4 linked regions of the Saccharomyces cerevisiae S288C genome follow. The gene in region 4 interacts genetically with the main gene of each other region. Each region holds a gene or a part of one and is shown on either strand. Other genes may lie near its edges. The genes, in order: MTC1, IRC20, FUI1 and GDH2.

Region 1 (4,990 bases), on a different chromosome or scaffold from region 4:
ATACAGTTGATACAGAACGTCGGATCAACAAAATGGGGCGTGATGAAGAAAAAAAGTGGCGATCCCGTGGAGGACATTGGTGCATGGATGATTCAATCATACAATTTACGACATTTAACCAAAGTTGCACTCTGATGGGCTCAACGACTGCTACTCGTGCCAATAATGAAACTGAAAAGCATGAAGCCATCACTGTTTTTTTCGTGGTCTTTCTATATATAAACAAAGCCTCTGTAAAGTTTTTTTTTTTCGCATAACAAACGCGCTTATCTGAGACATAACAACAGCCAACGACCGATGCCTGCGTGGAATAAACAATAATACGCTGCAGAGGATAAAAAGAGAGGTATCATGTCTATTTATTCTCTGCTTTTCTAATCAAATGTGTATTGTATGCTGAACCATGCCGGTTGGTTGCTTCTTCCGGTAATTGCATTCAAGTCCTGCAACTTTAAATGTCCTCTTATAAAGCAGGACGTGGCTTCAGAAACAAAAAATGTGTCGCCAAGAGAAAACAAGAACAGCTATCCAAGTCGAGCTGGGAAAGTAATCAGATTTTTGTATATGTATAGGTACTTTCTTGATCCGTAAGCTGGAACTTCTTTCATGATCTCTGTTATAGGAAAGCCAGAATAGAAAGAATCCGCCCGTAAAAAGAAAAATAAAGCAAACTCGATACAATTTCATGCAAGAAGGCCATTTGCTAATTCCAAGAGCGAGGTAAACACACAAGAAAAAATGGTCAAACCAATTATAGCTCCCAGTATCCTTGCTTCTGACTTCGCCAACTTGGGTTGCGAATGTCATAAGGTCATCAACGCCGGCGCAGATTGGTTACATATCGATGTCATGGACGGCCATTTTGTTCCAAACATTACTCTGGGCCAACCAATTGTTACCTCCCTACGTCGTTCTGTGCCACGCCCTGGCGATGCTAGCAACACAGAAAAGAAGCCCACTGCGTTCTTCGATTGTCACATGATGGTTGAAAATCCTGAAAAATGGGTCGACGATTTTGCTAAATGTGGTGCTGACCAATTTACGTTCCACTACGAGGCCACACAAGACCCTTTGCATTTAGTTAAGTTGATTAAGTCTAAGGGCATCAAAGCTGCATGCGCCATCAAACCTGGTACTTCTGTTGACGTTTTATTTGAACTAGCTCCTCATTTGGATATGGCTCTTGTTATGACTGTGGAACCTGGGTTTGGAGGCCAAAAATTCATGGAAGACATGATGCCAAAAGTGGAAACTTTGAGAGCCAAGTTCCCCCATTTGAATATCCAAGTCGATGGTGGTTTGGGCAAGGAGACCATCCCGAAAGCCGCCAAAGCCGGTGCCAACGTTATTGTCGCTGGTACCAGTGTTTTCACTGCAGCTGACCCGCACGATGTTATCTCCTTCATGAAAGAAGAAGTCTCGAAGGAATTGCGTTCTAGAGATTTGCTAGATTAGTTGTACATATGCGGCATTTCTTATATTTATACTCTCTATACTATACGATATGGTATTTTTTTCTCGTTTTGATCTCCTAATATACATAAACCGAGCCATTCCTACTATACAAGATACGTAAGTGCCTAACTCATGGGAAAAATGGGCCGCCCAGGGTGGTGCCTTGTCCGTTTTCGATGATCAATCCCTGGGATGCAGTATCGTCAATGACACTCCATAAGGCTTCCTTAACCAAAGTCAAAGAACTCTTCTTTTCATTCTCTTTCACTTTCTTACCGCCATCTAGATCAATATCCATTTCGTCTTCTAGCTTAGCGCTTGCGTCAACCAATAATTTTCTCTGTGTAGCATATTTTAAGTTTCTCTCGATTTTCTTAGCTCTCTTTTTGGAAAGTGTCCTCGTGGTGATGGAGGCCGGAGAAGATGAAGCATTTTGTAATGTCACAGCAGTGGAATTCTGACTTTCGTTCTTCTTGTTTTGGAAGTATAGGTCCAACGCTACTGATTTTATTTCCCCAGATTTCGAATTTACGCTGGATCTAGCTGGCTTCAAGAGACCAGCTCTTTCTCTTTGAGCTCTTTTCTTATTTAAAGAGTGCACCTTGTGGTGCAAATTTGAAGTCAGCTTAGGTCTGTTGATGGAGTTTTTAGAAGGCATTATGGGTTGGCTGTGCTAGTCTCTTCGGCAAGCACCTCATCGACTAATGCCGCCATAAGTTATAACCATATATTAATATTGATACTCTCTATGAAAATTTTAGCGAAAAAAAATTTTGCGATGAGATCATTCCAAACGGATTGACGCGTGGAAGAAACCGGCGATTTTCTGGTTTCTGGTTCTTTGATGGAAGTTGGACGAGACGGTGAAGAATAGAACAAGGGACAGGTTAACTAGACTCAATCGATTAAAAACATACATACTACCAGGGCAAAATGTCTGAAAATAAGAACTCTGAGGCTGAAGACGTATTTGAATTTTTAGATTCTTTGCCAGAAGCAAAGAATGGCGGGAAAATGGTTAATACTGACGTAAAGGGTAGCCAAGAAGGCGTTAAGGGAGGTTCTAATTCTGTGGCGGGCAAGACCGGGAATGATGGAAAGAAAGGTGACGATGATATCTTTGAATTCTTAGAAGAGTTGGAGAAGAGTAACTTAAGCTTAACTGACAAGAAAGGGGTTGAAAAGAAGGCTCCCAGTGAATCAGTTAATAATAAAGCACAAGACGAAAAAGTAGAAGAATCAAAAGAAAACAAAAATTCCGAGCAGGACGCTCACGGAAAGGAAAAGGAACCACAGCAGCAGGAGAAAGAAGAAGAAGAGGAGGAAGAAGAAGAAGAAGAAGAGGAGGAGGAGGAGACCCCATTGCATGACCCAATTGCTTCTATTTCAAACTGGTGGTCCTCCTCTGGATCCGCAAAGGTATCGAGTATTTGGAATAAAACTGCAGAACAAGCATCCCAGATCAAAAACCGACTTGCCCAAGAACAGCTTGATTTGACTTCAAAGATAAACACGAGCACGATTACTGAAATAGCCAGAAACTTACAGAAAATCGTTGTTGGTGAGACTGAAGAGGTGCTGCGAATTCATCTAGTCCATGATTTGGTTAACTATCCCTCATTACAATACAATATTGAAAGCAAGTTTGATCAAGTTCTAAGCTCACAAGTTGAGGGAGGAATCAGAATATTTGTAGATGAATGGGGCCATCCTAACAATAATGGAATTACACCTGTGGAAAAAAAGCCTTCAGTTGCAGACGGTGAGTTAGGCAACTCTAAAAAAAAATTACAGTTTAATCTATTCGACGGCAAGGTAACAGACGGTGAGAAACTGGCATTTGCAAACCTGGAAAATGCAGTCAAACTCTTCAATACTGCACATGAGGAATACCAGAAACAACAGAAAGAGGCTGATGCCACTCCAGATGACGATAGGAGTTCTATTAGCAGTAACAGCAATAAAATCAGTGATTTATTCATATCCATCTTACCAATTGCCATTCCGCAAAAACAAAAAGATGCCGACGGTGACTTTCAAGTGACCGACTCCAATACGCCAGGCAATTTCAATTTCACCCTTGTATTGAAAGACATAACTAACGATATTACCACCATAACAAGATCACAAGGATTCCCTGTCAAATGGGTCAATTGGCTAGAAGGATCCGTGGAGAAAACAGGATCAACAGCAAGTGAGGAGAGGAATAAGTCATACGATCAAAAGAAACAAAAAGAAAGTGAAGACGAAGACGAAGACGATGAGATCATTGATCCTAGTGAATGGGTAAAGGAATGGATCGAAGATGGATTAAGCTTGTCATTTGGGGTCATGGCACAGAATTATGTCATTGACCGTATGGGTCTTTGATACACTTAATACATAACATTTATAGCGTAACGATGATGTATAAAGTTACAAGCGCAGAGGAGTGGGTTCAAATTCGGCCGACTTGTTACCCGCGTTCGTTGAATAATGGAAAATATGAAAAAAATAGAGGAAGTCGTGAATATACAACGGTGTTCAGCACCTGTATTTCAATCTAGGGGAAGCCTGTATGACCAAGGGCTGATTAAATATTAGTGAAGATACAAGTAACACAGTTTAGTTATATTTTCTTTTCCTTTTCAACAGGATTGCCAACGCTGCAGTAGAGTTATACCAACATTTGCTCCGCTTTCAAAACCTATAAAAGAAAGCAGCCCTCGAATCGAATTAATTCACCAAAAATGTCTGCAAATAGCAAGGACAGAAATCAGTCCAATCAGGATGCGAAGCGACAACAGCAGAATTTCCCAAAGAAGATTTCAGAAGGTGAGGCCGATTTATATCTCGACCAGTATAACTTCACTACCACCGCTGCTATTGTAAGCTCAGTAGACCGTAAAATCTTCGTTCTTTTGCGTGATGGAAGAATGCTATTCGGTGTACTAAGAACCTTTGACCAATATGCAAATTTGATACTTCAAGATTGCGTGGAGAGAATATATTTTAGCGAAGAAAACAAATACGCTGAAGAAGACCGCGGCATATTCATGATTCGTGGTGAAAATGTTGTCATGTTAGGCGAAGTAGACATCGATAAAGAAGATCAACCCCTTGAGGCCATGGAACGCATACCATTTAAGGAGGCTTGGCTGACCAAGCAAAAAAATGATGAGAAAAGGTTTAAAGAGGAAACCCACAAAGGTAAAAAAATGGCCCGCCATGGTATCGTTTACGATTTCCATAAATCTGACATGTACTAAGAAAGAAAAACACAATACTACCAACATATATCCTGGAGTAAACTCTCAAAAATTTCCACATTCAGTTTTACCTATCCGTACACTTAATCAACTGCCTTTGGAGATGGAACAATAAAAAAAATGCAAGAGAGGAGGCCGTATTTGTATATAAATTAATATATTTAAATGTAAAATATATACAGTACTTGAGTTTTTTTATGAAGTAACGTATTTGCGCAGCATTCTTTTTCCTCTTACACTTCGTTATAACATTAACACTCATGCTATTGATACTTTTTCTTTATTAT
Region 2 (8,270 bases), on a different chromosome or scaffold from region 4:
GTAAAAAGATTGAAACAGAAGGGAAAGTTGCTATTCCCTGATAGTGGCGCTTATTGGAATTGTAGGCCCTACGTCATTTTCTTGAACTTTTTTTCTTCTTTGCAGAATCGTGGACGTATCCAGCGTTAATTGGAACATATTTTGTTCCAGCTGTTCATCGCCTTGGGCGCCACTGTAACTATCTTCCAATTCTTCGTCCTCAGCAAGCGAGCCTAATCCTCCACGTGTTCCCATACGGTCTTCTTCGGTACGTTTCACAGCATTACCAATATCAAAGGCGTCACGCATAGCAACAGCAGCTGGTGAAAACAGTAGCGAGGAGTCTCTTTGAAATAGTTGGAATTGTTTCTTATGCGGATGGCGTCTTTCGGAAGTACCTGCTTTCTTTTGTGAAGATTCGCCCTCCTTTGGTAAACAATCGAATGTATTTAACCATGGGTCGTCCAAAAACTGGTCAATGTCGTATCTTTTAGACGGCTCTAGTTCTAATAGCTTAGCCACGGCATTCTTGGCACCGGCGCTGATTTCATCCCACCAAGGTTTCAGAAAGGTATACTCACCCCTTGATATTTTTTCAGTTAAAGTGTCAATTTTCTCATCATAGAATGGCGGGAACCCACATAACATTGTGTACAAAACGCAACCAATCCCCCACATATCCACTTTCATAGAATAATGCTCATCTTTGACAACTTCAGGGGCAGTGTAACCGACTGTACCACAAGGAGTCTTGGTGTTCTTGGAAAATATTTGTTTAGACAAACCAAAATCAGCTAGTTTTACTATACCAATTCCACCACCACCAACTCCTGGTGTGAAAATTCCCTCGTCTGCCTTTGTTTGCGGATCATCCGATTTCCTCAATTTTGGTTTTATAGAGCGTGTGAATTCAATCGGTTCAAAAAGAAGATTCTCAGGTTTTATATCACGATGCACTACACCTAGTGAATGCATATGTTTAACAGCCAGTGCTAATTGTTTGATTACATGCCTTGATAAATCTTCACTGAAATAGGTCAACCTAACAATTTCGCCGAAGATTTCCCCACCGGTTAGTAACTCTTGAATAATATAATAATAGCTATCTGTTTCTTGGAAGTCTATGAACGCGACAATTTGTGAACAACCAGCGGAAACCGTCTTATGTAGTGCAACTTCCTTCAAGACTTGATCTCTGGAAGAAGTTTTAGTGCTGTCCTTCCCTTTGTCCTTCTTACGATGATCACCATTAATCGAGGATAAATCTGCCTTTTTGATAACTTTAATGGCAACAGCTTTATAGTTTTTAGTTAAAAATTCATTAGAACTATTTTTAGCAGGTATGGCTCTAAAGACTTTTGAAAAAGCACCTTCACCGATTTTATTGATCAGCTTGTAACCTATCAATTCCTTTTGTTCGAGGAAGGATTTTTCCGGAATTTCATCTTCCATATTGTCATCATCAGTACTGTCATCCTGGATATCACTGATAATCTCGCTTTGTTCCGAAAGAGATTCGTCAGATATTAAGGGGTCGGAACTTAATTGACCTTCACTACTTTCATGGACATCGATAGCTGGCACGGAAGTAACTGTTTCCACATTTTCCGTGGTAATATTATCACTCGGTGAAGAGTCCGAGTCTATCGTGGTTACTAATTCATCGGTTAAAGACTTCATATGATGGTCATCTGCGACAACACTCGGGTACTGAACTATATTTTTGTCCTGAAAGCTTTTCTTAGGGGAAGAAGTAATCTGGGAAACATCTTTGTTATTTGTACCGCTTGACCTGGTCTTACCCTTGAATGGTTTTTTAGATTCCTGAGACAAATCTGCCTGATCCGGTTTCTTTTTCGAGAAAAGGGCCTTTATTTTAAGCATCGAAGAGATTTTGTTTGATCCTCTCTAAATAAGCAGTACTCTTAACAATACTTTCGTCTTTTCCAATCGTTAAATGTTTGTACTTCAAATAACGTATGAACTATCTGGGATTTTATTTTCTTTAATTTTTTCGATGTCACTCTTTTTTTTTCTTTGGCCGATCCGTCTTTTCTAGTAAGCGTTTGTAAAAAGTTAGATGTCAATAGGAGAGATAAAGCCCCAGAGATAGAGTTTGACTTCGTTGAAATAACTGTCGCTGATTACTATTATCTAGGATTCTTGACGAGGTTTCCTCTTAATCACTGGATTTATAATTATAACCTTAAACCTAGCCAGTAAAAAAGTTTAAAAAGAACAAAAAACAATAACAAATAAATGTCCCTTTATCCTCCTTTTTTCTCTTGATTGCTATAAAGTAAAAAGATTACTAGACTTTATGCCAACGTACTCGTGGACGACTAAAACTAACGGTGATTTTTTGGATCGTAGTGGCTCTTTTTCAGCCTTCGTACTTTCAAGAATAAAGGAAATGGCAACTACTAAAAAGAGTGCCTGCGCAACGGATGTTTTATTAGCTTGAAGATGTAGCTGAATAACTCCTGTTTTTAAGTGAGCTCGAAATGACGAACCAGTCAAAGAACAAACTTGACCGCAAATACAGGGACATCCAAGGAGTCTGGGATAGCTTCACTCCTATGAGAGCTCAAGGAATTACCTGCTCGCATCTCTGACCAAGGATAAGGCTCGTTTTTTCCTTTTTCGGAACACTCGAACTGCTACCCGTCTTTTCCAGATCTACAGCTGATGAAATGTGGCTGATGAATGTATTGATTTGCCACTTTCTAGGCGCTGTCTAAAGGAATGAACTCCAGGAAAGGCCAACTTATTCGACGGTAAATGTCTGCAGTAGGTGCGCTATTAGCAAGGGAGTACAACGTGACTGCCGAAAAATGCGACTTTTTCCTAGAAAATGGTTCTTTTGATTCAGTGATAGCAGCATTGCCAGCGCTAAATCAGGAACAAGAGACTGTAACTCAAAAAGTTAGCAAGAACGGAAAAGAATTAATCAACGTTGCCTCGGTAAATATCGAAATACCAGAGCGAATAAGTCTTTCCAACAACGGTAGGCAGTTATTTAAATTTATTGTTGATATAGAGATCTTACCTTGTGAAAATGATAACGAGGCAACACTTGTTGTGTCGTCAGATTCCGTATCCTTATTTCAAATTGGATTTAAAATGGAGAACAATTCAAAAATCGCTGTTGACAAACAACTTCCGCTGATCTTGGATATATGTGCTCATAAAAACCAAGAAAGGGCCCTACGAAATCAGTTAGAAAATCGTAAATCTTTAGAACGCAAACCATCAAGAAAGAGAAGAAAAAAAAATTCAAATGTTAACGATCCTGAAAAATTACTAAAAAGTCGTATACACGAATTATCTTTGTCCTACAAAGATTTTGAATGCTCTCCAGTCGTATTCCGATACAATGATTCCTCTTTAACATGGGTTTTATCTTTTAATTTGAAGTTGAAGTTTTTAAATAATAAATTCAACCGGTTTTCCGTGGAGGCTAACCAAATACTGGACTTGACGTTCTCTAATAGGGACGAGAACGAATTTGAGCGATATCACAAGCACAGCCATATCCATTCAAACTTCATTCAAAAACAATTTATTTCTCAAATCTTGGAATATAGTAAAGATAGGCTATCAAAGATCAAACCGTTCTTACCCCAATCTATACCAGACCTAAAAGTTAACCTCTTACCATTTCAAAGAGAGAGCGTTGAGTGGATGCTAATTAAAGAAGGGCATGGTAATTCTCTTAGTGATACACCTACAGTCATCGACGAAGTAGGGCTTATAGATTTTATGAACGAGTACTATGCATACGGTTACGAGCTCATTGCACGCAGCCCTGACGAGGTAGGGCCATCATTGTTATGGAACAAATTAACAGGATATATTCTAACTACAGAAGATGCTGCACATTTGTACAACCAATATAGGAAGGAAAGGTTAAGCGGCGACTACCCAGTTTGTGCAAAGGGGGTGTTAGCAGAAGAGATGGGGTTGGGCAAAACTATTGAAATTTTATCACTAATACTCTTAAATAGAAGGAAATTGAAGGACTCAGAGGCAACATTTATTGACGATGAAAATAGAACAATCACGAAGACAAAGACGACTTTGATTATCTGTCCCAATGCTATCTTAAAACAATGGCTCGAAGAAATCGAATTACACGCAAATTCCTTAAAATGGTATACCTATAGAGGATATAATGAGATAATGAAAGATTGCAAAACTGTGGACGAAGCTGTTCAACAATTGTGCCAATACGATATTATAGTTACATCATATAACATTATTGCCACGGAGGTCCATCATGCTGAGTTTAACCGTAGTATCAGATCGAGAAGGTTGAAAAGCCCAAAGTATGACTATTCTTCACCGTTAGCTTTGATGCAGTTTTATAGAATCATTCTGGATGAAGTTCAAATGCTACGTAGTTCATCAACATATTCTGCAAAATGCACGAGTTTACTTCATAGAATACACACTTGGGGTGTTTCCGGGACTCCAATACAGAACATTTACAACTTTAGGATGATCATGTCTTATTTAAAGCTGCATCCATTTTGTGATGAGGTAGACTTTATTCGGACACTTCAAGAAGAAATTAAACTAAGAAATGAGGCTAAAGATTACACTAGTAATGATTTTGTATGCCAATTAAAGGGCGTTCGGTTTTCTATCAAGGATTGTATGAACATTTTTTACAGGTATGATCTTTGCATAAGGCATTCGAAAGCCAATGTTGCGTCTCAGATTCATATTCCGCGGCAACACAACTTCATCATTCCCCTGGAGTTTGCGCCTATCGAGTGGGACAACTATTTAAATCTTTGGAACAATTTTTTAGAGTTGAGTGGCTATAATTCGGATGGCAGTGGATCACCCCGTGTAAGCAATGCCTTTTTAAACGAATGGTTGTCTAGGCTGCGATATATATGTTGCCATGCATTATTTCCAGAAATTTTAAGTACCCGACAGAAGCGCCTTCACGGGCACTTGTCAAGAATTTCAAATATAGACGATATCTTAATATCCATGCGAATGGATGCATTTGACAGTTTAATTGGCTATTACAGAGAGAGATTCCATTTATCGATCAAGCAGGCACAGTATGAACTTGAAATTTCCAATACTCCGGCCAAAGCCCTTGAATCATTTATCAAAATCAGAGATGATTTGATGATACACATACGCCAAAAATTCAACGTTGAGGATCCGTTTGATAAGTCGTTAAACCTCAGTGAAGATGAGGACGAACATATGGACGAGAGGTTTGGTGAGAAGGAAACATCTTCAGGCGACGAAAGCGATAGAGAAATAAATGGTGCTAAAAACCATGATAATCACAACAATGACGGAATGTTATCCAACCACCTGAAGAAGAAAGGATTACGTGCTATGATGAATTTACTGCATGATTGCTACTTCTTCCTCGGTTCTGTTTACTATAACTTGGGCACTCGTAAGCTAGAAGAGGCGGACGACAAGCATCGAAAAGAGAAGACTGAAGAAGTGGTGTATTCTGATGTTTTTCCAAAAAATGAGTTAGAGGAAATTGAAGAGAATAGACTTTTAGAACAAGAAAATTATGCGAATGCAGAAATTTTGAGGAAGTCAATCCTCTCCTCTGAGGCTAGAAAAGTTGATATGACTATTAAAATGGCCAGAACTAAGTTTGCTCCTATGACGAGCAATATACCTTTGCGATTAATCAATATTGAATTTGACCACAAAAATGACTACTCATCTAATTTAGCAGTATCTCGTTGTTTCAAGTCTTTGAGTAAGTTGATAGAAGGGTTGAATGAACAAACTAAAAACTTCAACGAGTTATTGGATGAGTTACTCATTATTATCTATGAACCTGTCCACAGGACAGAGGACGATGATAGCACTAATAAAATTATCGGTAATGAAGAATATTCAACATCGATTGACAGTCAAGATAAGATATTCAGTCTTCTTGGTTGCTTGGAGATAATTTTACAGAATAGGGACAATATTTTAACTTCAGAATCAGAAGTTAAAATTCCGAAGCATTTGGTACCGGAAGGTTCAATAATTTCAAAATATCAAAAGCAGTTATTGAACAGCTTGCGCTTGATTTCAGGAACACCTCTACGAACTGTTTTTGATGAACTGAAGAACAGCAGGATAGTAAGACGGATATCCTCAAGCAATGAAAGTGAATCTACCATTCAAAATTTTGAGGACTACTTACTTCAGTACGAAGTTGAAAGTAAAAGCCTGTTTAAGTACAATAAACAGGTAAGAGAATCTTTGAAAATCCTGGGATCGATTTATAATGCCAAGACGGAATATTATAGTCAATTACAGAGGATTTCCGATTCATTGGTGTCCTTGCACTCTTTGAGTGCTCCACAACTCAGCCATCTAATAAGAACTATCAATAAGTCATTGGGCGGTACACTAGATGCAAAAATCAATAACATTGAATCACGGCTGATATATTTAAAAAATTTGTCCAGATTGAAAGACACATTAAACGATAATCAAATATTGAGCTGCTCTATCTGTTTGGGAGAAGTTGAAATAGGTGCTATCATTAAGTGTGGACATTATTTTTGCAAGAGTTGTATCCTTACGTGGCTACGAGCCCATAGTAAATGCCCTATATGCAAAGGTTTCTGTAGTATATCGGAAGTCTATAACTTTAAGTTCAAGAACTCAACGGAGAAGAGGGAAAAAGAAATTCAAGAGCCACGAAGAGAGGGCGCCGATTCGTCTCAAGATAATTCAAATGAAAACTCGATTATATCCAATATGAGTGAAGTAGAAAAATTATTCGGAAATAAATACGAGCAATTCCATCAAATTAATGAAGTCCATCAAATTCACATAAAGGAAAGTTTTGGTGCTAAGATTGATTTCGTCATCAAGTTAATATCTTACCTGAGGCTAAAAAGTGAGCAGGAAAACGCTGATCCGCCACAAGTTATTCTATACTCTCAAAAGACAGAATATTTAAAGGTCATTGGTAAGGTATTAAAGTTGTATCACATTGAACACTTGGCATGTCTATCTAATACAGCCAATGTTGGCGAAACTATAAATAACTTCAAACGCCAGCCTTCCGTCACTTGCCTACTTTTGAATGTGAAAACTTTAGGTGCCGGCCTGAATTTGATAAATGCAAAACATATTTTCCTACTAGATCCTATCCTTAATAATAGTGATGAATTACAAGCTATGGGAAGGAATAATCGTATAGGACAAGATGAAGAAACTTTTGTGTGGAATTTCATGATCAGAAATACCGTTGAAGAAAACATCCTCAGATATAAATGTATACTCGAAGAGCGCAAAAGAAAGGAGAAGTCAAAAAAAGGCGATAAATACGACGAAGCACAAGATGAAACGGATAATGAGGAAAGCGATGATGCGAAGTTTGAGATAAGCGTGGTAGACCAAGAAGTCAGTAATGAACACTTATGGAACTGCTTTTTTCACGGTAGTGATTAGAGAAGTATGACTTTTAAACCAGACACTAATATATTAAAATATTTAATCTTTTGAATTTTTATATAAACGGTTGCCGTAATTACTATATATATATTCAATGGTAGGAAAAAAAGATGCTGCACGTTGTCTGACATCTGAAGAAGAGTGCTAATATGTAGCTTCAAAATTTTCGGAAGGCAAAAATAATGGTTGCTAAGAGATTCGAACTCTTGCATCTTACGATACCTGAGTATTCCTACAGTTAACTGCAGTCAAGATATTTTCTTGAATCAGGCGCCTTAGACCGCTCGGCCAAACAACCACTTATTTGTTGTAAAAGTTATACGAAAAGAACCTTTTAATGAATGTTTTTTTTAACATTCTAGCCAATTTCCAACGTTTATTTGCGTATACTCAACCTATACTATGGCGGAATTCACTCCTTTCAGTAACCTTTTTATATTTTACGTACTACTGTGTCGCTGAGTTCTTTATATCTATACTTCCTTATATTTTCTGTATTTTTTCAAAGCTGTGTGCTGGCGATAAATCCATAAATCTCCAATCTCCAGCTTCATGTGGCTTTCTGGCACTTACAAAGCTTGGGCCCCTTGGTTCTAACATCAAGTGACCCATATTTTTCAAAAAGGACCCCTTATTATATATGTTTTCCTCCTTGACCACACGATGGAATACAGGGTTTTTTTTCGATCCAATACCTTTCAAAAATTCCCTTGTTGTTTGCTGATTACCTGCCATAAATATGTGATAAGTAAACAGTATTGCCGGATACCATAAGGTTAGCCCTGCATAGCAAAGTAACAATATTGCAACGGGACAATCGCGAGGCCCCCCTGATT
Region 3 (5,407 bases), on a different chromosome or scaffold from region 4:
AGCGATGTCGACGATGGTTCCGTACCATTAACGAGATTTCATTCTTGTCCTATCACAGCATAAATTAAAATGAAGGAAATAACACAACTTCGTTTTGCATTATCATATTCACATCTGCATCCTATTTTTTTTTTCTCATTGTTGTTGTATCATTATTACTAACTAGTGCATCACCACTTGTCTAAATACCAAACGCAAAATATATATATTCTTACTTCATAACGTTCAAAATAAAGTTTTTAGTTTAAAATAAAATAAAATAAAAAAAAAAAAAAAAAAAAAAAAGAACCTTTTGTTTTCGCCCAGTATATGGGTAAATTAACGGTTCCTTTTATTAGTCATTTTCAACTCTATACCATGCTCCAAAACGGCGTTCGGCACAGGTTTTTTATTTTACCACGATAACTCAATATGTACAAGATTATTGCATAGGCGAAAAGTAAAGTTTTAATATGGTACTTTGCGCAATAAAACTACGAATTCAAACGTAAAATAAGACTACAGAGACTAAGGTAAGACCTGTTCTGCTCAGATAAGTGGCGTTGTCCAAGTATCAGTTCTACGGGAACGTAAGAAAAAATTTTGCGTGAGCTCTCTTGAGAACCAAACCTTCTTTTTTTTTTTTACGAAATGCTATTTCGTTGCAGTGAGAAGGATTTTTTGAAAACAGAAATGAGTTAGGCCAGGCTGCTCGTACTCGCTTAAATTAGGAGTGCGAGACTGAAGACCTATGGTAAACAAGACTTTTTTTAACTAATCAAGCATGCGTAATGTTATTTTTACAAAATAAAGGTTACAATTTGAGATTATGCAGAAGCATATGTCTATATGTATGCAACAAATATGATGAGGCCTATGCAGATTATAAGTAAATTATTTTTTTTTTTTTTTGGCTTTGACATTATCATGATAAGGTGCTACTTGCGTTGTTAACAATTGTGTTTAGATATATCGTATCTTTTCATAGCCAGTGGAAACGCCGCCATATTCTTCAAAAGCTTCTCTTTCAGTTCCGAATTCTTCTACTTCGACCCACTCTTCGAGCCATTTACGGTCAGTTATCTTGGCATCGCCTGGAATACCCTTAATTGGGTAAAAATACACTAAAATGCAGTAACTCAATGCTGCAAGGAGATAACCAACGAAATAGTTTAGGTAGTAAACTTTCATAGCGCCAATAGGCACAGAAACTCCCACTGAACCTAAAAAGCCTGCAAAATTAGGAGCAATACCAAATATATAAGCTACCACCGCCCTCCAGTTCGTACCATATTTATTGTACATGTAGTACGATCCTGGCTTGTCGGTGTAGCAATGGAAAATATTAACGTAACCCTTTCTGACAATGAAGTAATCGGCTGATATTACACCCGCAATAGCACTTAAGAAAACTGCATATGCCGCTAGTGCCGTAGTAAACTTTGACGATGATGATAATAAATCCCAGGGGCAAATCGCCAACGATATTAGAGCACAAATATAAGAACCGCGTCTGATATTGATGAATTTAGGCAATAATGCAGTCAGATCGGTACCTGCAGGGATCGAGTTACCAGACAAGTTGGCACCCAGCTGGTCAAACGCAAAAATGAAAGATATTAAGAATACACCGGCTCTGTTCCCCGAAGTATAGTTATCCAAGTACCTGTTCAGAATGTCTAGGGGACTCCAATAATTTACTCCGTACAATGTATAAGCTGCGGAGACAGACAATATTCCGATTAAGGAAATAATGGCATAGCAGACGGGTAGCGCAATCAATTGCGAGTAAACAGATGACTTGTAGGTCTTACCGAATCTAGTGAAGTCAGGAGCGTTTAGGATTAAAGTAGAGAAGTTATCCAGAGCACTCATAATAGCTCTAATGACAGACCATGCTAAAACCGTCTTGCTGATTGCGCCACCATTGTCATTTAGGGAACCCAATGCCAAATGACCTTTGGCCTTACAAAGAGTCCAAATCAAAAAACCGAAGGCCGCAAATGGAGTGATGGCGGATTTGAGTGCAAATATATGACGCAATTTGTCAGGTGGAAACCATAGGAACGGTAAACATGCGACCCAGAAGACCATGAAGCACATGAACTCGAAGTTCGTCAAATTGGGGTTCTTTATGGTGTCTTTGATTCTAGTATTCAAATTAGTACCGAAGATAGCCTTTAGCATCAACTGAACACATTGACTACCGATATAAGCCAAAGTAGAATTCCAGACACATGCCATGACGACACGGTTGATGACAATCCAGATGGAGAAGTAGATACCAAATGATACTCTTGAGGAAATGGGGAAAGAGATATGGTAATTGTTCCCCACTTTGGAACCCAGTATCAAGAAAAATGCGACAAACGTGTATCCAACCCAAATACAGATCCAAGTCTGCCACCAGTTAAGCCCTAACTGTAGCCCAGTGGCTGAGATTTGCCATGTATTGACGTTAAAGGACCCAGAAATCCAAAAGAAAATGTACTGCTTCCATGTCCACGTTCTTCTTTTTGCCTCCACGGGCCGCAGATCTGTGTTGTACAAGTACGTCGAACGGAGGGACTCCTGTAAATCTTTAAATGTCCTAATTGGATTTTCGGGCTTATGATCGGCCAAATCGGTAGAGTCATTCTTAACCTCAAAAAACTCGACAACTCTTTGCAGCCAAGACACCTTTTCGTCATCCTGAGCAATGGTTATATTGTTTTCTGAATCGGTATCTTTTTTTTCAATGACATTAGCATCAATCTTAGAAGTAATTTTAGTCGCATCACCCATCTCGGACTCTTTCGTGATTTCTTCGTAATCCTCCGTCGGTATAGTGTCGTCCTTCATTGTTTTTGAAGAATTATCGAATCCAGAATCAGATACCGGCATTTTCTCTTATATAGAATTAATGAATGAGAGGACTAGTTACCGCCTTTTATTTCCGCAATGTGCTGCAAAGTAAAGCAAAGCTGTCCAATACTATGTTTTAAATTTTACAAGAAGGTCGAAGCAATACTACTGTTATATAAAAGATAGGATAGCATGTCATCGAGTAATTGAGCAAGAGAGGAAATGAAAAACTTTTCCGTTGGAGAATTGATCAAAAATTTTCAAAAATACGACATGTCCCTGTGTTGTCCAGGCTGACACAATAGTTTCAGTAGCGAGAACCGCCAAGTTTTATTGCAGCATCCTTTAATGGCAAAGATGGCGCGATAAGGACGAAACCGGCAAATCCCGAGCATCAACCACAGTGAACGCCGCGGAGAAACTCAAAGGCGAAAGGGGAGAAAAAAAGAAATTAATGGCACATACCGCTTTGTGGCATGGCTCAATCACATTTCTTTTTCTTCTTTCTGATCGCCCGCAGGAGAGGCAGCGCCGTTTGTGTCCCATCGCAAGGACAAACTAGCTAGGACATGAGACTTCTAAGCCGTTCAGTCGAAAGAGTTAGGGCATTAGTCTCTAAAGATAAGTGTGGGGGCTTGGTTGAGTCTTGATTTAAAAGCTTGGAGTAGGCATTTTACGATCTATTTTCTCTCGAAATAAAGTAAAGGTATTGCTGCAAAGGAATTGCCGTAATATTTAAAACTTCTTGCTTAAGTGATGTAAAGGCAGTGAGGCGATAGCAATGTTTCGTAGAGCCTGTGACTAGTGAAGCATAGGCAATAAATTGTTTTTTTTTTCTGATTTTGTATTGCCGTCTCTGCGTCGCAGAGATTTGGTGTTCGTACGGAGCGATAATTGTTTTTATCTTTTCCAACTTAAAGGATCGAGGAAACTCAAAGGGTGGCAAAAACAAGCGGTATAATACAAGGTGAACTGAGTTGGAAAGAGAGTAGCCAAGACTATTGAACTATAAAGTTAAACAAAATATGGCCACTATTGCATCAGAATACTCTTCGGAGGCGTCAAATACACCCATTGAACATCAATTCAATCCTTACGGTGATAATGGTGGTACAATCCTGGGCATTGCAGGTGAAGATTTCGCAGTGTTAGCAGGCGATACAAGAAATATCACCGATTACTCAATTAATTCTCGTTATGAACCCAAGGTTTTTGATTGTGGTGATAACATAGTCATGTCGGCGAATGGATTTGCAGCAGACGGCGACGCTTTAGTAAAAAGATTCAAAAATAGTGTAAAATGGTACCATTTCGACCACAACGACAAAAAACTATCTATAAACTCTGCAGCAAGGAACATTCAACATCTTCTGTACGGGAAGAGGTTTTTCCCTTACTACGTTCATACGATCATTGCGGGTCTTGACGAAGATGGTAAGGGCGCTGTCTATTCGTTCGACCCAGTTGGCTCCTACGAAAGAGAACAGTGTAGAGCAGGTGGTGCTGCGGCATCATTGATCATGCCATTTTTGGACAATCAGGTTAATTTCAAAAATCAATATGAGCCAGGTACAAACGGTAAAGTCAAAAAGCCTTTGAAATACTTGTCCGTGGAAGAAGTCATCAAACTGGTGAGAGACTCGTTCACTTCTGCTACAGAAAGACATATACAAGTGGGTGATGGGCTGGAAATCCTTATTGTCACCAAGGATGGTGTAAGGAAAGAATTTTATGAGCTAAAAAGAGATTAATGCATACATATCATAGTATAAAAAGAAATAGACCAATATCAACATCAATTTTATGTATTTTTTTTTTCTTTTGGTATAGCATTGATATATTGAAATTTGTATATATTGCTGCGAACACTATTTAAAACAGGTTTTTTTTTTATTTTGGCAGTTTGAAACCCTTTCCTCTGATGACTTTAGTGTAGTAAATGTAAAAGAAATCAGAGTACAACAGAGTTTGCAAAAGTCCCGCGAAGAAGGCAATCTTGTCCAATTTTTTATCTTCCGTGCTGTACCTCCAAATCCAGTTAGGAATATACAATGCTCTGTATAATCCCATGGCAAAAATATAATGAACAGTTAGACTTCTAGTCTTCCCACCCTTAGATAGCATGTACAATTGAGGTAGAATAGCCACACTCTCCAACCATACAGAAAAACTCCATGCTAATTCAAGAAAAGTGAACTTGTGATGGAAAAAAACACTCATTAGAGCACTCCCAATTAGTAAATGCTGGATCTTAAAGGTATCATGCATAAGCATTTCATTATACGCAATGGTGTTGGTTCTTTTAGACCCTTGTAATAGCACTACAATGTAAGCGGTAGATACAATGAAAAATATTTTCATTAGAGCATTGTATAGGGATACCCAGTGAAAAGTCAAGAGATCCAAGTATCGTGTTATGAAAACCAAAGCGTACAACGTTTGGGTCTTGAAAGAAATACCTTCAATGTACCTTGTGGTCTTGATATTATGAATCAGGATCAGTATACTGGTTAGATGTGATAAATCACCTGTCTTGATGGTCGGGAAAAAGCCCTTTCTCTGTTAGTAAGATTGGGTTCGATCT
Region 4 (6,549 bases):
ATTTTCTTTACATCAAAGAAAAACAGCAGTAGTACCAAAAAAAATCTAGCGAATGATATCAGTGATAACAAGCATAACAACAATTCTTCTAATACTATCGGTCACAATATTCCAGTCACGACAGCCACGGCGACATGTGATGAGATTGCATGCACCTCCACAGAACATGAATATAATGTTTATGAGGAAGAGAGGATGTTCACTACTCGTGTATATTCTCTAGAAGATTCGGTCTCTTCACTGTCCACGAATCCTCTCGACGACACGTATTCAGAAGCAGTGCAAGTAAATACAAGACATATCGAGGACACTGAAAGCACGGCCCATATAAGAAAACACTCCTATACTACGTCATTGTCAAGTATCAAAAGGCTCTTCAAAATAACGTCTTTTAGCAATAACAACAGTAACTCATGCGATCACCAGGAAAGCACAGTTGCAGATGATTGCGCTATATCATCATCATTGAAGGAAACAACTTCTTCGCCAGTCTCAACTGGATCATTCTCTCTCATGATCGAGAATGAAGACAGCGATAGAGATCAGATTATTCAGGCTTTATATAGTAATATTGAAGCATCCACTGACTTGGTTTCCAGGAAATATAGAGATCTCGACGTTGTTCTCGGCGAAGGTTCTGGTGGTAAAGTGAAACTGGTCCAAAGGGTCCTGGATAATAAAGTTTTTGCATTAAAGGAATACAGGTCAAAGAAAAAAAGGGAATCTGAGAGAAAATACATCAAGAACATAATTTCTGAATATTGTATTGCCTCCACATTGAAGAACCCAAATATTTGTGAAACATTGGAAATACTGTATGAGAAAGGTAAAATTTTCCAAATTCTCGAGTATTGCGAATATGATTTATTTTCTTTGGTTATGAGTGAAAAGATGCATTACGAGGAAATATGCTGTCTTTTTAAACAGCTGATCAACGGCGTAAAATATTTGCACGACATCGGTCTCTCTCATCGTGATTTGAAGCTAGACAACTGCGTTGTAACACGAAGGGGAATCTTGAAATTGATTGATTTTGGCGCTTCCAGTGTCTTCCACTATCCATTGTCTTCACAGATGATTGAAGCAAATGGAATTGTTGGTAGCGACCCCTACTTGTCACCCGAAGTCTTTTATTTCAATGAGTACGATCCAAGAGCACTTGACGTTTGGTCCGTGGGGATAATATTCTTTTGTATGATAACGAGAAGATTTCCTTGGAAATATCCCAAAGTGAAAGATGTTCAATTCAAGGCATTTTGTTCCGGAAGAGGTGTGTCATCTTTTAAAGATCTTGTGACACGGCCTGCTACCGATGACAGCAATAATTATGATAATGATGGCTACGAAGAAGGAGTCATTGATATGGGTCCCAATTTCATTCTGCACAGACTACCAGAAGAAACTCACAAAATAATGAGGCGTATACTGGAAGTTTCACCTTTCAGAAGAATTACCATAAACGGAATATTACAAGATGGCTGGATCAAAGAAATAGAAACGTGTCAAGTTGTGGGCGCGGCAAGCCCAAATGAGGCATCGCTTCGAATAATAAACAAAGGTAATCACATACATACAAACATCGATCAACGATACGCCCACATTGGCGGCCTGCATCAGCGAACGTAACTGGAAGAATAGCAATGTCATACTGGCCATATGCTCCAGCTTTTACTTACGCAAGTAATACTTACAGCACTGTAACCATAGGTACATATACGTGAAAATACGACTATATCTAATCTAATCTGTCATTTATTTATTTATTTACCGTCGGAAAACCAAGTCCGCTTGAAAAGGGTTACCCATCTGGCGGCTATGTGTGCGGCGATTCCGCAGGACCGAATTTAATACTGCCTGACGGCGTGCCACAACAAGGAGCAATTGGGGTAAAAATACACATTAATAGTTGAGTAGGACAAGTAACTACGAGTCAACGGCGGCATCAATAACAATAACAAAAGTTATACTGTCGACATCAACACTGACAAGCGTTTACTCATTGCTGCTGTTTAGTCAGAATTCTTGTTATATAAGAACAACCGGTTTCTAAAAAATACATTACCTTTTGGTATAATCCTTTTTGTGATTGTCACGATCTCAACAAAACATACAAAACAAGGATATTAAATTCACAACAATAAAAAGAATAAAGAATGCTTTTTGATAACAAAAATCGCGGTGCTTTAAACTCACTGAACACACCAGATATTGCTTCTTTATCAATATCATCCATGTCGGACTATCACGTGTTTGATTTTCCCGGTAAGGACCTGCAGAGAGAGGAAGTGATAGATTTGCTAGATCAGCAAGGGTTTATTCCCGACGATTTGATCGAACAAGAAGTAGATTGGTTTTATAACTCATTGGGTATTGACGATTTGTTCTTCTCGAGAGAATCTCCCCAATTAATCTCGAATATCATACATTCTTTGTATGCTTCAAAGCTAGATTTCTTTGCGAAGTCCAAATTCAACGGAATTCAGCCAAGGCTATTCAGCATTAAAAACAAAATTATAACTAATGATAATCATGCCATCTTTATGGAATCTAATACTGGTGTCAGCATAAGCGATTCTCAGCAAAAAAACTTTAAATTTGCTAGTGACGCCGTCGGAAACGATACTTTGGAGCATGGTAAGGATACCATCAAAAAAAATAGGATTGAAATGGATGATTCTTGTCCACCTTATGAATTAGATTCCGAAATTGATGACCTTTTCCTGGATAACAAGTCTCAAAAAAACTGCAGATTAGTTTCTTTTTGGGCTCCAGAAAGCGAATTAAAGCTAACTTTTGTTTATGAGAGTGTTTACCCTAATGATGATCCAGCCGGCGTAGATATTTCCTCTCAGGATTTGCTGAAAGGTGATATTGAATCGATTAGTGATAAGACCATGTACAAAGTTTCGTCGAACGAAAATAAAAAACTATACGGTCTCTTACTTAAGTTGGTTAAAGAAAGAGAAGGTCCTGTCATTAAGACTACTCGCTCCGTAGAAAATAAGGATGAAATTAGGTTATTAGTCGCTTACAAGCGATTCACCACTAAGCGTTATTACTCTGCTTTGAACTCTTTGTTCCACTATTACAAGTTGAAACCTTCTAAGTTCTATTTAGAGTCGTTTAATGTTAAGGATGATGACATCATTATCTTTTCCGTTTATTTGAACGAGAACCAGCAATTGGAAGATGTTCTACTTCACGATGTGGAGGCAGCATTGAAACAGGTTGAAAGAGAAGCTTCATTGCTATACGCTATCCCAAACAATTCTTTCCATGAGGTTTACCAGAGACGTCAATTCTCGCCCAAAGAAGCTATATATGCTCATATTGGTGCTATATTCATTAACCATTTTGTTAATCGTTTAGGCTCTGATTATCAAAACCTTTTATCTCAAATCACCATTAAGCGTAATGATACTACTCTTTTGGAGATTGTAGAAAACCTAAAAAGAAAGTTAAGAAATGAAACCTTAACTCAGCAAACTATTATCAACATCATGTCGAAGCATTACACTATAATTTCCAAGTTGTATAAAAATTTTGCTCAAATTCACTATTATCATAATAGTACTAAAGATATGGAGAAGACATTATCTTTTCAAAGACTGGAAAAAGTGGAGCCTTTTAAGAATGACCAAGAGTTCGAAGCTTACTTGAATAAATTCATTCCAAATGATTCACCTGATTTGTTGATCCTGAAAACACTGAACATCTTCAACAAGTCTATTTTGAAGACAAATTTCTTTATTACAAGAAAAGTAGCAATATCATTCAGATTAGATCCTTCCCTGGTGATGACAAAATTCGAATATCCAGAGACACCCTATGGTATATTTTTTGTCGTTGGTAATACTTTCAAAGGGTTCCATATCAGGTTCAGAGATATCGCAAGGGGCGGTATTCGTATAGTCTGTTCCAGGAATCAGGATATTTATGATTTGAATTCCAAGAACGTTATTGATGAGAACTATCAATTGGCCTCTACTCAGCAACGTAAAAATAAGGATATTCCAGAGGGTGGCTCTAAAGGTGTCATCTTATTGAACCCAGGATTGGTAGAACATGACCAGACATTTGTCGCCTTTTCCCAATATGTGGATGCAATGATTGACATTCTAATCAACGATCCATTAAAGGAAAACTATGTCAACCTTTTACCAAAGGAGGAAATATTATTTTTTGGCCCAGATGAAGGAACTGCTGGTTTCGTGGATTGGGCAACTAACCATGCTCGTGTGAGGAACTGCCCATGGTGGAAATCATTTTTGACTGGAAAATCCCCATCTTTGGGTGGTATTCCCCATGACGAATATGGTATGACTTCTCTGGGTGTTCGTGCTTATGTTAATAAAATTTACGAAACTTTAAACTTGACAAATTCTACTGTTTACAAATTCCAAACTGGTGGTCCGGATGGTGATTTGGGATCCAATGAAATTCTTTTATCTTCGCCAAACGAATGTTATTTGGCAATTCTGGACGGTTCAGGTGTCCTGTGTGATCCTAAAGGTTTAGATAAAGATGAATTATGCCGCTTGGCACATGAAAGGAAAATGATTTCCGATTTCGACACTTCCAAATTATCAAACAACGGATTTTTTGTTTCTGTGGATGCAATGGATATCATGCTACCAAATGGTACAATTGTAGCTAACGGCACAACCTTCAGAAACACCTTTCATACTCAAATTTTCAAATTTGTGGATCATGTCGACATTTTTGTTCCATGCGGTGGTAGACCAAACTCAATTACTCTAAATAATCTACATTATTTTGTTGACGAAAAGACTGGGAAATGTAAAATTCCATATATTGTGGAGGGTGCCAATCTATTTATAACGCAACCTGCTAAAAATGCTTTGGAGGAACATGGCTGTATTCTGTTCAAAGATGCTTCTGCAAACAAAGGTGGTGTCACATCTTCATCAATGGAAGTGTTGGCCTCACTAGCGCTTAACGATAACGACTTCGTGCACAAATTTATTGGAGATGTTAGTGGTGAGAGGTCTGCGTTGTACAAGTCGTACGTTGTAGAAGTGCAGTCAAGAATTCAGAAAAATGCTGAATTAGAGTTTGGTCAGTTATGGAATTTGAATCAACTAAATGGAACCCACATTTCAGAAATTTCAAACCAATTGTCCTTCACTATAAACAAATTGAACGACGATCTAGTTGCTTCTCAAGAGTTGTGGCTCAATGATCTAAAATTAAGAAACTACCTATTGTTGGATAAAATAATTCCAAAAATTCTGATTGATGTTGCTGGGCCTCAGTCCGTATTGGAAAACATTCCAGAGAGCTATTTGAAAGTTCTTCTGTCGAGTTACTTATCAAGCACTTTTGTTTACCAGAACGGTATCGATGTTAACATTGGAAAATTCTTGGAATTTATTGGTGGGTTAAAAAGAGAAGCGGAGGCAAGTGCTTGAGCTTCAATAAAATTGTTTTGTATAAATTAGTTCTGCCGTCAGAAAAGAAAATTAAACATATGTGTATGTTCTTCTCAGCGTTTTATTGTGTACTAAGTAAAGTTGTTTATATGTCCATTATTTTTAATCTAAAAAAAGCATTTGATATTTTTTCCTTCGAGTTATCCATTATACTAGGCAGTTCTCCTCAGGGAGCCATGCTTCAGCTGAAACTTTAGGAAAGGCGCGCTACGCAGGAAGCGCTCTTATTAAAGGGTTTTTCAAATAAACTAAAAATGAATAACAACGATCGAAAATCAATAAAAACTGCAGGAGGCAGCATGTCACTTTCAAATAAGACTGTAAAGGAATTACGACAACTACTAAAGGAAAGGTACACCGTGGAAGATGAACTAACTGAATCTATAGCGCTATCAAGTATGCGATTCAAGCCGTCGCAAGAACCTGAATTTCATGCGCTAAGCCAATCTTCCTTGCTCAAAACTAAACTAAAACAACAAAGTAGTACAGATATTCCGAGTTACACCCACGTACTTATATCAAAATTATCATGTGAAAAGATCACCCATTATGCAGTTCGTGGAGGAAATATTGAAATCATGGGCATATTAATGGGGTTCACATTAAAAGATAATATTGTTGTAATGGATTGTTTCAATCTTCCCGTAGTAGGGACAGAAACTCGCGTAAATGCACAATTGGAGTCATACGAATATATGGTTCAATATATCGACGAGATGTATAATCATAATGACGGTGGTGATGGGCGAGATTACAAGGGCGCTAAACTGAATGTTGTTGGCTGGTTCCATTCACATCCTGGTTACGACTGTTGGTTAAGTAATATAGATATCCAAACCCAGGATTTGAACCAGAGATTCCAAGATCCATATGTCGCAATTGTGGTCGATCCCTTGAAAAGTCTGGAAGATAAAATTTTAAGAATGGGTGCATTTAGGACAATAGAAAGTAAAAGTGATGATAATAGTGCCACTTCATACTATGAACTAGAAACAATCATATTTGATTCAGAATTGAACCGAGCGCTATTTGAAACAAAGTTAAACTTACATTGCGTAATAGAGGATGATGAGTCAGAACAAATATCATTAAATAG

Evidence for each region.
Region 1: mutations in GDH2 (region 4) and MTC1 together harm fitness more than expected from each alone (negative genetic interaction), as found in Saccharomyces cerevisiae (2 studies listed by BioGRID).
Region 2: mutations in GDH2 (region 4) and IRC20 together harm fitness more than expected from each alone (negative genetic interaction), as found in Saccharomyces cerevisiae (2 studies listed by BioGRID).
Region 3: mutations in GDH2 (region 4) and FUI1 together harm fitness more than expected from each alone (negative genetic interaction), as found in Saccharomyces cerevisiae (2 studies listed by BioGRID).

What each region holds. Positions count from the first base shown.
Region 1 is NC_001142.9:186,839-191,828, reverse strand, and holds MTC1 (DUF5427 domain-containing protein MTC1), read left to right. Parts: upstream 1-2,388; coding exon 2,389-3,825; downstream 3,826-4,990. Other genes in the region: YJL118W (uncharacterized protein), read right to left, coding at 1-190; ribulose-phosphate 3-epimerase RPE1, read left to right, coding at 739-1,455; ALB1 (Alb1p), read right to left, coding at 1,586-2,113; LSM1 (Lsm1p), read left to right, coding at 4,185-4,703. UniProt on the Saccharomyces cerevisiae protein: Involved in telomere capping.
Region 2 is NC_001144.5:627,845-636,114, reverse strand, and holds IRC20 (E3 ubiquitin-protein ligase IRC20), read left to right. Parts: upstream 1-2,760; coding exon 2,761-7,431; downstream 7,432-8,270. Other genes in the region: serine/threonine protein kinase RCK2, read right to left, coding at 31-1,863; palmitoyltransferase ERF2, read right to left, coding at 7,918-8,270. UniProt on the Saccharomyces cerevisiae protein: Is probably involved in a pathway contributing to genomic integrity.
Region 3 is NC_001134.8:137,399-142,805, forward strand, and holds FUI1 (uridine permease), read right to left. Parts: upstream 2,863-5,407; coding exon 943-2,862; downstream 1-942. Other genes in the region: ECM13 (Ecm13p), read left to right, coding at 1-63; PRE7 (proteasome core particle subunit beta 6), read left to right, coding at 3,849-4,574; ERD2 (Erd2p), read right to left, coding at 4,714-5,351. UniProt on the Saccharomyces cerevisiae protein: High-affinity transport of uridine.
Region 4 is NC_001136.10:69,523-76,071, reverse strand, and holds GDH2 (glutamate dehydrogenase (NAD(+))), read left to right. Parts: upstream 1-2,153; coding exon 2,154-5,432; downstream 5,433-6,549. Other genes in the region: serine/threonine protein kinase PRR2, read left to right, coding at 1-1,626; COP9 signalosome catalytic subunit RRI1, read left to right, coding at 5,753-6,549. UniProt on the Saccharomyces cerevisiae protein: NAD(+)-dependent glutamate dehydrogenase which degrades glutamate to ammonia and alpha-ketoglutarate.